Linked DNA regions of Mus musculus: regions 2 and 3 are each reported to be linked to region 1. Evidence: microRNA targets listed by miRTarBase, many of them from high-throughput screens and not tested one by one. Region 1 holds a microRNA gene; each other region holds the end of a gene's coding sequence.

Evidence for each region. The annotated mature microRNA mmu-miR-758-3p reads UUUGUGACCUGGUCCACUA and lies in region 1 at 2,712-2,730, shown strand. An mRNA with a match to its seed (bases 2 to 7 or 8) in the 3' UTR can be bound and repressed. Matches are read on the target gene's strand: a 7mer-m8 pairs with bases 2 to 8, a 7mer-A1 pairs with bases 2 to 7 and ends in A, and an 8mer does both.
Region 2: miRTarBase lists Crlf2 as a target of mmu-miR-758-3p. Seed matches in the 3' UTR shown: 7mer-A1 at 3,429-3,435 and 8mer at 3,394-3,401.
Region 3: the mRNA of Ugt8a is a reported target of mmu-miR-758-3p. Seed matches in the 3' UTR shown: 7mer-m8 at 2,224-2,230.

The regions. Positions count from the first base shown.
Region 1 is chr12:109,710,147-109,714,211 of GRCm38, forward strand. Mir758 (microRNA 758) reads left to right here and starts at 2,664; the gene lies at 2,664-2,744. It overlaps Mir411 (microRNA 411), which reads left to right and starts at 29; the gene lies at 29-110. Mir299a (microRNA 299a) reads left to right here and starts at 492; the gene lies at 492-554. It overlaps Mir299b (microRNA 299b), which reads right to left and starts at 547; the gene lies at 499-547. It also overlaps Mir380, Mir1197, Mir323 and Mir329.
Region 2 is chr5:109,551,346-109,555,410 of GRCm38, forward strand. Crlf2 (cytokine receptor-like factor 2) reads right to left here. Exons shown (of 8, transcript NM_016715.4): 7 at 3,928-4,012; 8 at 3,364-3,725. The coding sequence ends at 3,501. It overlaps Gm8493 (a long non-coding RNA gene), which reads right to left and starts at 2,641. Exons shown (of 6, transcript XR_880564.2): 1 at 2,214-2,641; 2 at 1,719-1,834; 3 at 1,280-1,348; 4 at 118-1,029.
Region 3 is chr3:125,863,897-125,867,961 of GRCm38, forward strand. Ugt8a (UDP galactosyltransferase 8A) reads right to left here. Exons shown (of 6, transcript NM_011674.5): 6 at 1,376-3,683. The coding sequence ends at 3,320. Among named protein-coding and RNA genes, the nearest start is that of Gm40145, 33 kb to the right of the region's middle.

The DNA.
Region 1 (4,065 bases):
CTCAGCCTTTGTCCTCGGCGTCTCTGTGTGGTACTTGGAGAGATAGTAGACCGTATAGCGTACGCTTTATCTGTGACGTATGTAACACGGTCCACTAACCCTCAGTATCAAATCCATCCCCGAGGCCCCTGGAGAAGATGCTGTCTTCGGGGAGACGCCAGTAGACTCATCATCAGGGCTTCTCCATGATGCTGGAAGAGATGGTTTTCAATATGGCGTGTGTTCTTTCCTGCATGATGGGAAATGACATAATCTCCCCCTTCCTCTGCTGAGCTCTGCCTTGGGAACTCTTGCCATCTCTGGGGAGGAGACCACAAAGCTTTCTGGGATCAGTGCTCTTCGTGACCTCAGTGACAGGGGTGTCTAGGCGACTCTTGGTTAGTAGACTCCATGACCTGCTTCTTCTCAACACCATCCCTGAAGAGGTGTCCTGAGGCAACCTGGCAGACATGAACCTTCTTACAGCTGTCCTTGCTGTCACGCGGTACTTGAAGAAATGGTTTACCGTCCCACATACATTTTGAGTATGTATGTGGGACGGTAAACCGCTTCTTGGTATCCAGCCCAGCCATCCAGTCCATACCATCCTCGAGCAAGCCTGAAGTGAGAGAAGAAACGTTGTTTTGGCTTGCTCTCTACATCGGGCTGCTTGGCCAAACATCCCTCTGCTTTTTGTGTGCTTTCTCTGTTAATTCATGTGGCAAGGTGTTCCTGTCAGCTTCAGTGCAGCCCTTAAGGGCTTCTTCAAGGATGATGACAACCTCCAGGAAGGTGTCCTACATCCCAACTGGGCATGCTCCCTCCCTCCTTAGGACTTGAAAAAGTGGCAATTAGCTCCACAGATGCTCATCATCAAGGGATGCTGCGTGTTTTCATCATCTGCAAAGCTATCATCAGATGCCTTCAAGACATTATGCCCATAGAAGGACAGCTAGGGCTACATGATACAGTGCAAAGACAGATGCATGAAGACACAGTCCCTGTTTCCACTGATGCTTCGTATATAGTATCTTTTTTTCCATATCAAGTCTAGCCTTCTAGAGGAAGATGACCCAGCCTGGCTCCTCCATGTATGCTTACAGATCAAAGTTGCTTCTTGGCTCACTTCTTCTTACCTCCAGCCCAGCCTTGGAGAACTTGCTGAAGATGCTGCTAGCCTCAGAGACAGGGCTCTGGTTCTTGCATCAGCAATGACCTCACGGTACCTGAAGAGGGATCAAGCAAACTGCATGTGTATTATTAACACCATTTGTAACCTGGCCTACTCTTTTCAATATCAACTTCAGCTTTGAAGGTTTCCAAAGAGGCCCCATTAACCTTGGGGGTGGGGGGGCAAGGCAGAAGGACAAATGCCTTGGGGTAGAGGTTGTCCATGCTTCTTGCTTTACTTACAGCGCATGTTAATTTGGTCCACCTTCCCATAATAGTGAATGCGCCTTGGGGGCTTCCTGTGAACAATATTTCCTTAAAGGCACAGTGCTAGTTACGGGGTCTTCTCTTCGCGTCCTTGCAAACTTCTCTTTGCTATATTCTCTGCATCTGCAGCAGGCAATGCATGGTGGTCTCTTTTCAACATTGCATCTAGGGTTTCCTGGAAGTGATAATCATGAGGAAAGAAGCCAGCTCCTGCACCACCCTCTCTCCATGGTACCTGAAAAGATGGTTGACCATAGAACATGCGCTACTTCTGTGTCGTATGTAGTATGGTCCACATCTTCTCGTTATCAAAGTCATTCGTGAGGGTTTTCCAGAGACCGAGCCAACTTCATGGGAGATATCCTGTCCTGGCTTCAGCACAGTACTTGGGGAGATGGTAGACTGTCGAGTGTGTGCGTTAATTCCAGCATGTACAGCATGGTCCACCACATCTCTGCATCAGCCGGTCACCAGGGGCTTTCTGAAAGCCATACCAATTGAGAGTAGGGCTCAGGCGGCAGACCCTATCCAACACAGATTACCCAGTGCTTGGCTACAGGCCATGTTCATTACCTACGACTCTGGCCATTTGATCCAAAGCCAATATTTGGCACCCAGCCCAGCCTTACAGGGCATCCTGGAAGTCATAGTGGCATTAAACATGAGTTTGTGGCCATTGCCACACATGCCGATTGCTGGTAGTTTGTGACACTCATTGAGAAGGCATTTTGGAGGTAACACCAAATTAAGTAAAGTGAGCTGGAATCAGCCAGCGTTACCTCAAGGTATTTGAAGATGCGGTTGACCATGGTGTGTACGCTTTATTTATGACGTAGGACACATGGTCTACTTCTTCTCAATATCACATCTCGCCTTGGAAGACTTCCAGGAGGTGACATCTGCTTTGAGGAAGAGCCAGTGTCCCGGTCTTCCTACTGCTGCTGCTTGGTACTTGGAGAGAGGTGGTCCGTGGCGCGTTCGCTTCATTTATGGCGCACATTACACGGTCGACCTCTTTGCGGTATCTAATCCCGCCTTGCGAGCTTTCCTGGAGCTAACACCAGCTGTGGGGTGGGGACACTAAATGTGTGTGCTAGCGCAACCCAGCCAGCGGGTTTGTCTTTTCTTGTGTCTGACAATAACTCTTGTGTGGCAGCCTTCTTCTCAGCAAATTTCTCTGGCTTGGCAGCTTCGTGGGCAGGGTGACTTGCAGACCAGGAAAGTGGCATCGACATGTGATACACGTGTGGGTGCGTGAGGTGGTTGACCAGAGAGCACACGCTATATTTGTGCCGTTTGTGACCTGGTCCACTAACCCTCAGTATCTAACCTTCCCTTGGAGAACTTCCTGGAAGAGATCTCAACTTTTGGGGACAGAGGCAATAAGCCAGCTGTACGCTGTTAGACTTGGAGACAGCATCCTCAGTACTTGCAACATATGTGCCTGTTATGGTAGTATTGGATGGGCTTCCAATGCTGTCCTATACTTGGATCCCTTCCTTGATATGGGGCCATCCAAGTTCAAGAAACGTACCATGTTGTCAGACATGACCAGGGTGTGTGTATGCCATTTATATATGGCACAGGTCGCAGGTCACCTTAGCACACTTGCATGCTAAATCTGTGGGAGGAATCATCTTTGGTTTGGGGGCATCTGTGCCTTTCTGTGGTTACCCAAAATGGTGGTAAGTCCTATAGCCAGTCTCTACTGCGCCACTGCTCTCTGGTTGTGACATAACTTCAGGATCATGCCATGGAGGTCTGCTGTACTGGGGCATGTGATGGGATGGCTGTCAGATATATATCAACTAATGGCTTGCTTGAGCACTTTGACTAACATCCAGTGTGCAACCCTGCATTCAACAGGCCTGCCAGGTCTGAAGGTCACGTTGGGGAATTACCGAGGTAGTCTTGTCAGTGTTCGCTTCTGGTACCGGAAGAGAGGTTTTCTGGGTCTCTGTTTCTTTGATGAGAATGAAACACACCCAGCTAACCTTTTTTTCAGTATCAAATCCCATCTTGGAGGCTTCGTGGTCCAGATCCCAGTCTCAGGGAAGGATGGTCCTGTCAGCATCCAGCCAGGGGACAGGAATAACTGGTTCTCCACAAAGCCAGCGAGTGGATTATCGTTCTGAATGGTGTCCTTTGTCCTCTAAACCCTCCCAGGCCTGCCAGGTCTGAAGGTCCAGTTTGGGAAGGTGTCATTGTTATTGTTAACTGAGGATGTGGAAGAGGGGTTTCTGTGTTTGAAACACATTTGGTCAACCTCTCTTCCCATCAGAACAAACTATGGAGGCCTTCTGGTCCATACCTCAGCCTCAGCTGAGGACACACTAATAGTTATGAACAAGTGAGTGACGGACAAAACCCATCCCATACATCAGATTTCTGTTGCCTGTGCTTCTAACCTTCAGTATCTTGTCCATTCTCAGGAGGACTTCTCAACCAATATGGTGTTCCAAAGTTGGGGAAGATGGCAGCCACCGAGGCAACTCTACCCCAGGTCATCACAGGTAGGTTGCACCCACTTTGCTTCTAACAGGTTAGACACAGCCACCCCCACACATGTCCAGCATGCTTTGGAGGCACGGTGATGGGCTTTTAATCAGCCAACCCCTGCTATAGGACTGTCTATTGTAGAGAACACCC
Region 2 (4,065 bases), not on the chromosome of region 1:
CCACCCGCACCACATGCCCCGCCCCCTCAGCCACACCCACCCGCGGGGTTTGTGCCTGCTTGCACTGCTCCTGTGCGGGGTACTTGTCCATGCTGAAAAAGGCATCAAAGAACTCACCTGCCAGGCTCAAGCGCTTCAGGCCACAAAGCGTGATCCGACCTAGGGGTCAGGGGTCACAAGGGTCACGCACAGGGCGCCCCTGCTGGGGTCACCCGTGACGACACCTGGTGTAAGGGGTCAAACTGGGGTCACACACGGGGTCGCCCGTGTTGTCACCTGGGGTCAGGGGTCACCCACAAAGCAACCTGAGCTTACAATGGGGAGGTAGTGTCAGAGGTCACCCTGGAATTTACAGGCTAACCCTAGGGGTCAGGAGTCCCCCACAGGGTCAGAGGTTGCCCGTGGCCGGGATCCTAGCCGTCTGCTCACTGGGCTCGGGGCGAAGAGGTCGAGCACCTGGTGCGTGAGGTGGCAGAAAAGGAGGAGCTCCATGCCTTGGGGGGCCATGTGCCAGGCCTGCTCCTCATAGAACTCGAGCTCGACCACCACGCAGCGGAACCAGTACTCAGTGCTGCGGGGGTGGGTGGGGTTGGGGGGTCAGAGGTCACGGGGGCGGGTCAATGGGCGGGGTCACAGTCAAGGAGTGGAGGCAAGGGGTAAGGGTCAGAGATCATGGTGTCTGTGGGCAGGATCAGGGGTCAGAGGTCAGCAGGGTCACGGTGGCGGGGTCATGAGATCAGGGTCAGAGTTCATGAGGTGGGGGTCATAGCATCGGTGGTTGGGGTCAGTCAGCCAGGATCAAGCGGGGGGGGGGGGGGGGGGGGCGGAGACAGAGCATCCTATAGGCGTGGCCATGTCAGGGTGAAGCCAGAGTTGGTGGGCGTGACCACAGAGAAGCGAGGTAAGGAGCAAGCAGGAGGCATGGCTGACTGGGGCACCGCCCCTCACGTGATCTTGTCCTCCTCTGAGAGCAGGCACCACATGAGTTCAGCATAGCCCAGCTTCCTGGCACTGCACAGGGGCTGCGCCCTGTGGGGTCAGGGGGCGGATTGTCACAAGGAAGTGGCCAGGTTGGACAGGGTGTAGGGGTGGTGATGACGTCACAGGGAGTGGGGGTCAGGGGTGGGAGGGGCCTGCAGATGACGTCATAAGGAAATGGACGGGGTCATACAGGAAGTGATGACATCAGACAGGAAGTGGGGGCAGTGATGACACCACAGGAATTGGAGTCAGTGGTGGGAGGGGACAGAAGTCACGTCCTCCCCAGACCCCCGCTCACCTCCCAGGCTGCTCACTGGGTGACAGCACCGGAGAGAGAAGACGCAGTCTATCATCCAGGAAGAGATGGCTGCAAGGGCAGGGCGGGGTCAGGGTGATGGAGACCACGCCCATTGAGGCGGAGGCCACGCCCACTCCACACGTCAGGCCACAACCACCTCCCCCTTGGTGTGCCTGCCAATCACGAGGTCCAATCACCAGTTTGTGGCCAAGGTCGACCTCCCAGGCCCCGCCCCTGGCCCCCGCCCACATGAAGCCCCACCCACATGCCAATCATGAAGTGGTGGTCGCTGTCCCTGCCTCCTCAACCCGCCCTCTGACCCTGCCTCCTGTCTCGAGACCCCAATCTCGAACCCCCGCCCTTTACCCTGAGTCCCACCCCTGACCCTGCCCCCACCATTCACCCCAGTCCCCAGTCCCCGTAGCGCTCGAGGTCTCACCAGTCTATGGCGAGGTCGCCGTCCAGGTCGAGCTCCCAGAACTTGCAGTAGATGACATAGAAATGCTCACAGGAGAAGAACAAGAACGAATGTTATGCGGTTGATGTCTGGCTGGCCTGCAGGGGACAAGGACCAGGTTCAGGACACGCCCACCGACCCAGGGGTGTCCAGTGGAGCACTTCTGGTGTGGGGCACGCCCACATCTGCGCTAAGTCACGCCTACCTAATTGTGGTCACTTCCTGTTGCAGCTACTCCCTTGTAGGACACACCCACTTCCTGTCCTTGACACACCCATACCCCAAGATACGCCCATACCCTAAGACTGCCTACTGCCTGGCTAATGGACAAGGACTCATGAACGACCACTTCCTATGTTGGACACGCCCACAACCAGGCCCTGCCCATCCCTGGGAGGTCCTGTCCAAAGACAGAAAACCTCTCCCACAAGAAGTCCAGAAGAACAAGCTTGCCCACATCCCGGGCCCCGCCCACACCTGCAGGAAGCAGCTGTGCCTCAGCTCCTCCCGCAAGATCATCCCAGACCATGACTGGTTCACTGTGTAGAAGATCCTCTGAGTCACATGGGGGAGGAGCCGGGGTCACAGGGTCGGAGGTGGAGCCATGGCTATGAGTGTGGCCTGGCACTAGGGGCGGGGCTGTGGGGAATTGGGCAGGGCTAGGGCGGGGCCAAGGCAGGAATCAGGTAAAGTCTTTATGGGCGGGGCCAAGGGCTATGGGCGGAGTCTGGGCAGGGTCAGAGGGATTCATAGTGAACCTAACAGCTATGAGTAGAGTCAGGGGCATGGTCAGGGCAGTCAAGAGATTCACAGAGCACCTGAGGTTTGGCCTGGGACTGTGTGGGTGTGGCTGAACGCCAGGTGTTTGTGGCCTTGGATTATGGGCGGAAATCTCAGGGCTGTGAGCGGGGGGGGGGGGGGGGGGGGGATCTCGGGGTCTGGGCATGTCCCGTGGTTGGGGGCGTATCGGGGCGTGTCCACTCACAGTGGTGATGTAACGCTAGTGGAACTCCTTTGCTGCTTTCAGGAAGGCCAGGCCCCGGTGCGAGTTCACCATGTCCTGCTGGGTTGGGAGGGGTCCGTGGTCGGGGGGAGGGGGTCAGTGTTCAGGGGGTGGGGTCACGGGCAGGGTGGGCGGACACAGGGGCAGGGACAGGAAGTGATGTCAGGGAAAGGTCCGTCACTGTCAGACAAGGACACCACCAGACTATGGGGTGTGGCCCGGGCATCAGGGCAGGGCCTGGGTGAGTTGGGCGGGGCCTGCAGAGAGCACAGGAAGCAGAGAACACAGAGGAAAAGACAGGAAGTGACATCACTTACAGTCACAGGGGAGTTGCCAGCATGTGTGGGTGGGGCCTAGATCCCAGGGCGGGGCCTGGGCGAGGTGGTACTCACCACCCGCAGTTCTGTCCTCCCTTGGTTCTTACCCTTTCTCTCCCTCAGGGCCACCAGGACAGCATATTCATGAAACTCGTTTACATACCTGCGAATTCTTGAGGTACATTTGCTCATTGCCCCGCCCAGATGGATGGGGAGATGATGTCACCCTGATGTTACCCCCACTAGACGCTGGGATGCTCCTCAAGCCCCGCCCTTTCTGGTCAGGAATTAATGATGGCTGGCCGCATTAGCATAGCATTTGCATTTTATTTGAATATTTGTGACCACATTTGCATACAGACAGGCACAGGATTTGTGAGTTTGAATTATTTAAAGACAGGAAGTGACCTCAGCCTGAAGTATAGACTGGCAGTGACTTCAAGGTCACAGGGTCATGTAGCCGCTGTCGCCCACCATGAACGTGGCCCCGCCCACTGACACCATGGCCCCGCCTCCCGGCCCCCTTGGCTCGAAGCTGGGTGGCCTTGGCACGGTGCAGAGGGAGGTGCCGTCCTCGGGCTCCACCCTCTTAGCCTTGGTGTGGATGAGGTCATCTTCCTCCTCGGTCCTGGCTGGCGGGGCTGTGGCCTGGGCGTCCGCAATCCAGGCCTGCAGCGAAAGGGGTTGTGTGTGTGGAGGGGGGGGGTGGAGGGAAGGGGGTGGGGGGAGGGGGAGGGGAGCGGTGCCTGGAGTCAGGCAGTGGCCCGTGACGCCTGTCACTCCCATCATCCCCCTGCCTCATGCCCTCACTCTCCGGGGACAGGAAGTGACCCCCCACAGCGATCCTGACCCCCCCCCCCCCCCCGCGCACCTGGAAGTTCCCGTGATGCTTCTCAAAGAGTCCAGGGAAGGAGCCGCTGGGGTCAGGGACGCAGGGCAGCAGCGCATCTTTCACCCTGGGGTTCAGGGTCAGGGGTCAGGGTTCACCTGACACCCCCATGCCATGCCC
Region 3 (4,065 bases), not on the chromosome of region 1:
TTCATAAATTAAACAATTTCCATACATGAAATTTCTCTGTCCTATCAGACGTATTGTAAATCCATAAGGCTAATGTTGGTATTGGACTTATTTCCATTAACTTACATTTTTAAAAAATTAGATATTTTCCTTATTTACATATCAAAAGTTTTCCCCTTTCTAGGTCTCATAGTATAATTTTGCATGTGGCTGTGATTCATCAGTCAAAACTTGGATTATACTCTAATTAAGAACTCTTGTCTTATAGAGTATATTTTCAAAAAATTTGCAGACTATAATGTGAATTCTTTCTTTAAAATCCATCTGAATGACCCCAATGATATGATAACACTATCATGTGACTTTTTGTTTCCATACCTACAGATTTGTGCTACCTCCTACTGCTAACATCCGTAAGTCCATCCCACAAACACCCCCAGTAGCTGGAAACCTACTAGTTTGGAGAGTTTTCAGCTAGATAACCATGTAGATGGTTTACCTGTGTGAACTCCAAGAACTTCTTACTATAATGTGTCAGGAAAAAATATCTAAGTCTGCCAAAAATACAAAGAGCATATCTATAGATAGTAAGTATACTTCTTTAAAAGCTGGGTAAACTAGTCTTGCAAGCAGAACAAGAAATGCTTTAAGGCTTATATTGAGGAGATTTTTAACAACAGATTTCCTATAATTTCCCCATTACAACTTGTAAGATTTTGAGTGTTCCCCTTCATATTATTATTGATAGTAATAAACATTGTTAAATGTGACATCTATGAACTTATTTAATTACTACAGCAAAGAAATTAATTGGCTATACTTTCGATAAAACAGATCACTAAATTAGTACTTGACGATACTTTGCAACTTCCTTCGTTTCTTCTTTGGTGAGTCATGGGGGATGAGATAGTCTGGGGATCAACCCAAGGCCCCAGTATGAACAGTGGTAATTTAGGCTTTAGTAAAAGTCTGAGATTTGAGGAAAATATCTACTTTTCTTCAAGTTCAATAATATAGTACTACTTGCAACGAATACAAGCGCTTTCCAAAGATTTACCAAATCTTATCAAAATTCTTGTCTTATGCTATTAATGAGATATTACATATTACCAATTTAGAAGGAAAAACATCCCAGTTTTCATGTGATAAAGTAGCCATGGAAGCACTTGCTGCTGCAGAGACTCTTTCTGAAAAGTAAATGAATAAATGCCTTCTTGAAAACCTTACTTCCTTAGAGAATTTAGCCCAAGTATAGAAAATGTTAAATCATCCTATTTACTATAACAGGCTAGTAAGCTTCCTGGGAGTCCAGGGCAGGGGATGATAGAGAAGAACAACAAAATGCTAAACAAAACAAAACAAAACAAAACAAAACAAACAAACAATGAGAGGAGTTGTACTTAACATTCTTAATTCTGGGATAGAACTTAAAGATCCGTGTTGATGTACTTTAAAGGATAAATCCCTGCATTTAATTTTTATTAAATATGTTCTCACATTTAATACATTGTTTTCACATTCATATATACATACAAAAGTTGGGAGGCCTTAGAAACATGTTTATAATGTAAATATACCTTTATATAATACTGTGAAATAAAATCTGAATAAAAATTTTATTCCAACAACATTTCTCTATTTTCAACTTTGTTTATTGTTTTAAGTTTCTTTTTTTTTTAAACCACAGTGGAAATTAACTTATGCTTAATCATCCAGTTAGTGTCTATTGTCAACTTTACCAAATGCCAAAAGTAAAATCAACTCATTCATACACTCTATGCTCTGTTACCACCCACCATTCATTGCCTGATCATTTTCCTCTTTGAATGGCAATGTTGTGATAAGATTGTGAAAAGGTGTAACTAACAGGTTTGTATAGATACCATTTCAAGTATTCAGAAAGCAGTACGCTGTATGCATTGTGCATTAAAAAACTATTGATATTAAATCTAAGTATATGAGACTGGCTCCTGGTGGGAGTGTCACAAAGTTGTATGTCACAGTGTATGACAAGGATTTACAGCATTCTAGATTTTTCACAACTCTGCCATGTTAGTGAGTGACATTAAGTAAATATTTCATTTCTCTACTCTCAAGTGTCAAATATGGGATTTCCAACCACAAATAAATAATGCACACACAGAGCATGTGCAGTGCAAATGCTCAGTAAACAGAGTGACATAGAATAAGCTTACAGTGCCATTTAGTAAGTGGTTCAACATGGAGGTCCTGAATTTATGAAAGTTGTGACTTGTCTCCATGTTCCAAACAGATACTGTCATTGTCCCATGTCAAGCACAATGACAAAAAAGGCTACTGAGTTGGGCTGATGTAGTGAGGAGGGAATGGAAACTCATTTGCACAAATGGGTGGTACAATTTCTGTCATTTCTGTGTAGCAGGTAAAGTCTTATTTGCTGACAAACCTCAAACTCCTGCAGCTAAAGCAGGCAGCAAGGAGAACTGCAAATGTTCTGTTTGGAAGAAGGATACGTTGGCACCTATATACTATATACTATATTGTGGCCCAGATAATAAAAGGAATGAAAGGTGATTATTCTAAAGTTAAAACTTTAGAAGTGATACCTGAATACTCAAAACTCAAATTCTGGAATATCTAAGTCAAATAAGCATTTACACATGGCTCTGCTTCCAAGTGCTATTTAAGCAATAATCTTCAGTACTTTGAACAAAAGTAAGAGCTTTGTTGCTCTGTCCTAATTAGAAAATTCTTCCAGAGAAAAATCATTGGTAGGAGAAAAATATTAGCAAAATGTGAAAACCTTTTCACTCATTTACTTCATTGCATGTTTTCCTTCACAAGTGTCTATAGTTGGTAAGAAAAAAGCATTTACAAAAAATAAAAATAAAATAAAAATGTCTATAATAAACAAAAATACAAAAATTGTGCCACCCATCTTTTCACTTGCCACTTTACACCGAGTTTAGGAAACAGTTTTTGAAATACTGTTACAAACTAAATACAAATAGAAGCTAAAACTCAATGACGTAGGAAACATACACACATCTTATCAAGAGAAAAACACCATCCCTCACCTGTAACACATACATAACATTTAAAACTAAGGTCTGACACGTCACTTAATTGATTTAAATAATTAAGGCTTCTAAATGGTTCACTGCCAACTCTCTGCATCAGTATTAGAATAAAATACATTTTTGCATTTAGGGTTGTGCTCTTTACAGACATTTTATCCATGGAATCTCATTAATAAGATCTGATGAGGGCATGTTAGGACTGTTTGCTGACATTTACTTTTAGTAGCTGTTAGACTAAAGAATAGCACTACAGACTTGGCCCCTTCACCTGGGCTGTCGGATCATCTCACCTTCTTTTCGTGTTTAACACGACCATTGCCTTTGTATTTGCCATTGCGGATTCCATTTTGGTAATGTCCATTAACTGTGCTATGCTCATTTTTAGACCATAGACTTTTGATTTTTCTATAGATAAATTTTGTCACATAGGACAATATGAAGTAGAGCAAGACAGCACCAAGCAGAAGCACAAAGGCAATATCCAGTAGGAAATACTGGCAGAAAGAGATCTGATGGACAGCAGAACGGAGGTGACGGGCTCCGTCATGGCGAAGAATGTAGTCTATCCAATAGGTAGTCCGATTGACAGGGTGGCCGGGTTGATCCTTGTGAATTTCCGATAACTTCTGAGCCCTCTGCCGATAACTGCAGTGGAGACAAACATGATATGATCATGCATACACAGGTTCTGTACTGATAGATATCTCAATTTAGAAATATGATAAATGACTGATATTCCTCTTTAAGCATGTAAGGGTGCTCCAAGCACTGGGTTAAATGCTTTAAATACTTACAACATCTCCATATAGTTCAACCTGGTGAGAACAAGCAAACCTAGCAACATGAAATCTTTCCCCAGATGGGAGGCAGATTTATATTTTCTGACCCAAACTCTTTCCACACCACATTATATACTCTCCCCACCAGATGCTTCTAAACGATGTTAAACAAAGTGTCTCTTCAGAAAAGGGGCATTTTAAAATTCTACAAAAAGGATAGAGAAAAGCAGGGAAATTTTCCCACCAGT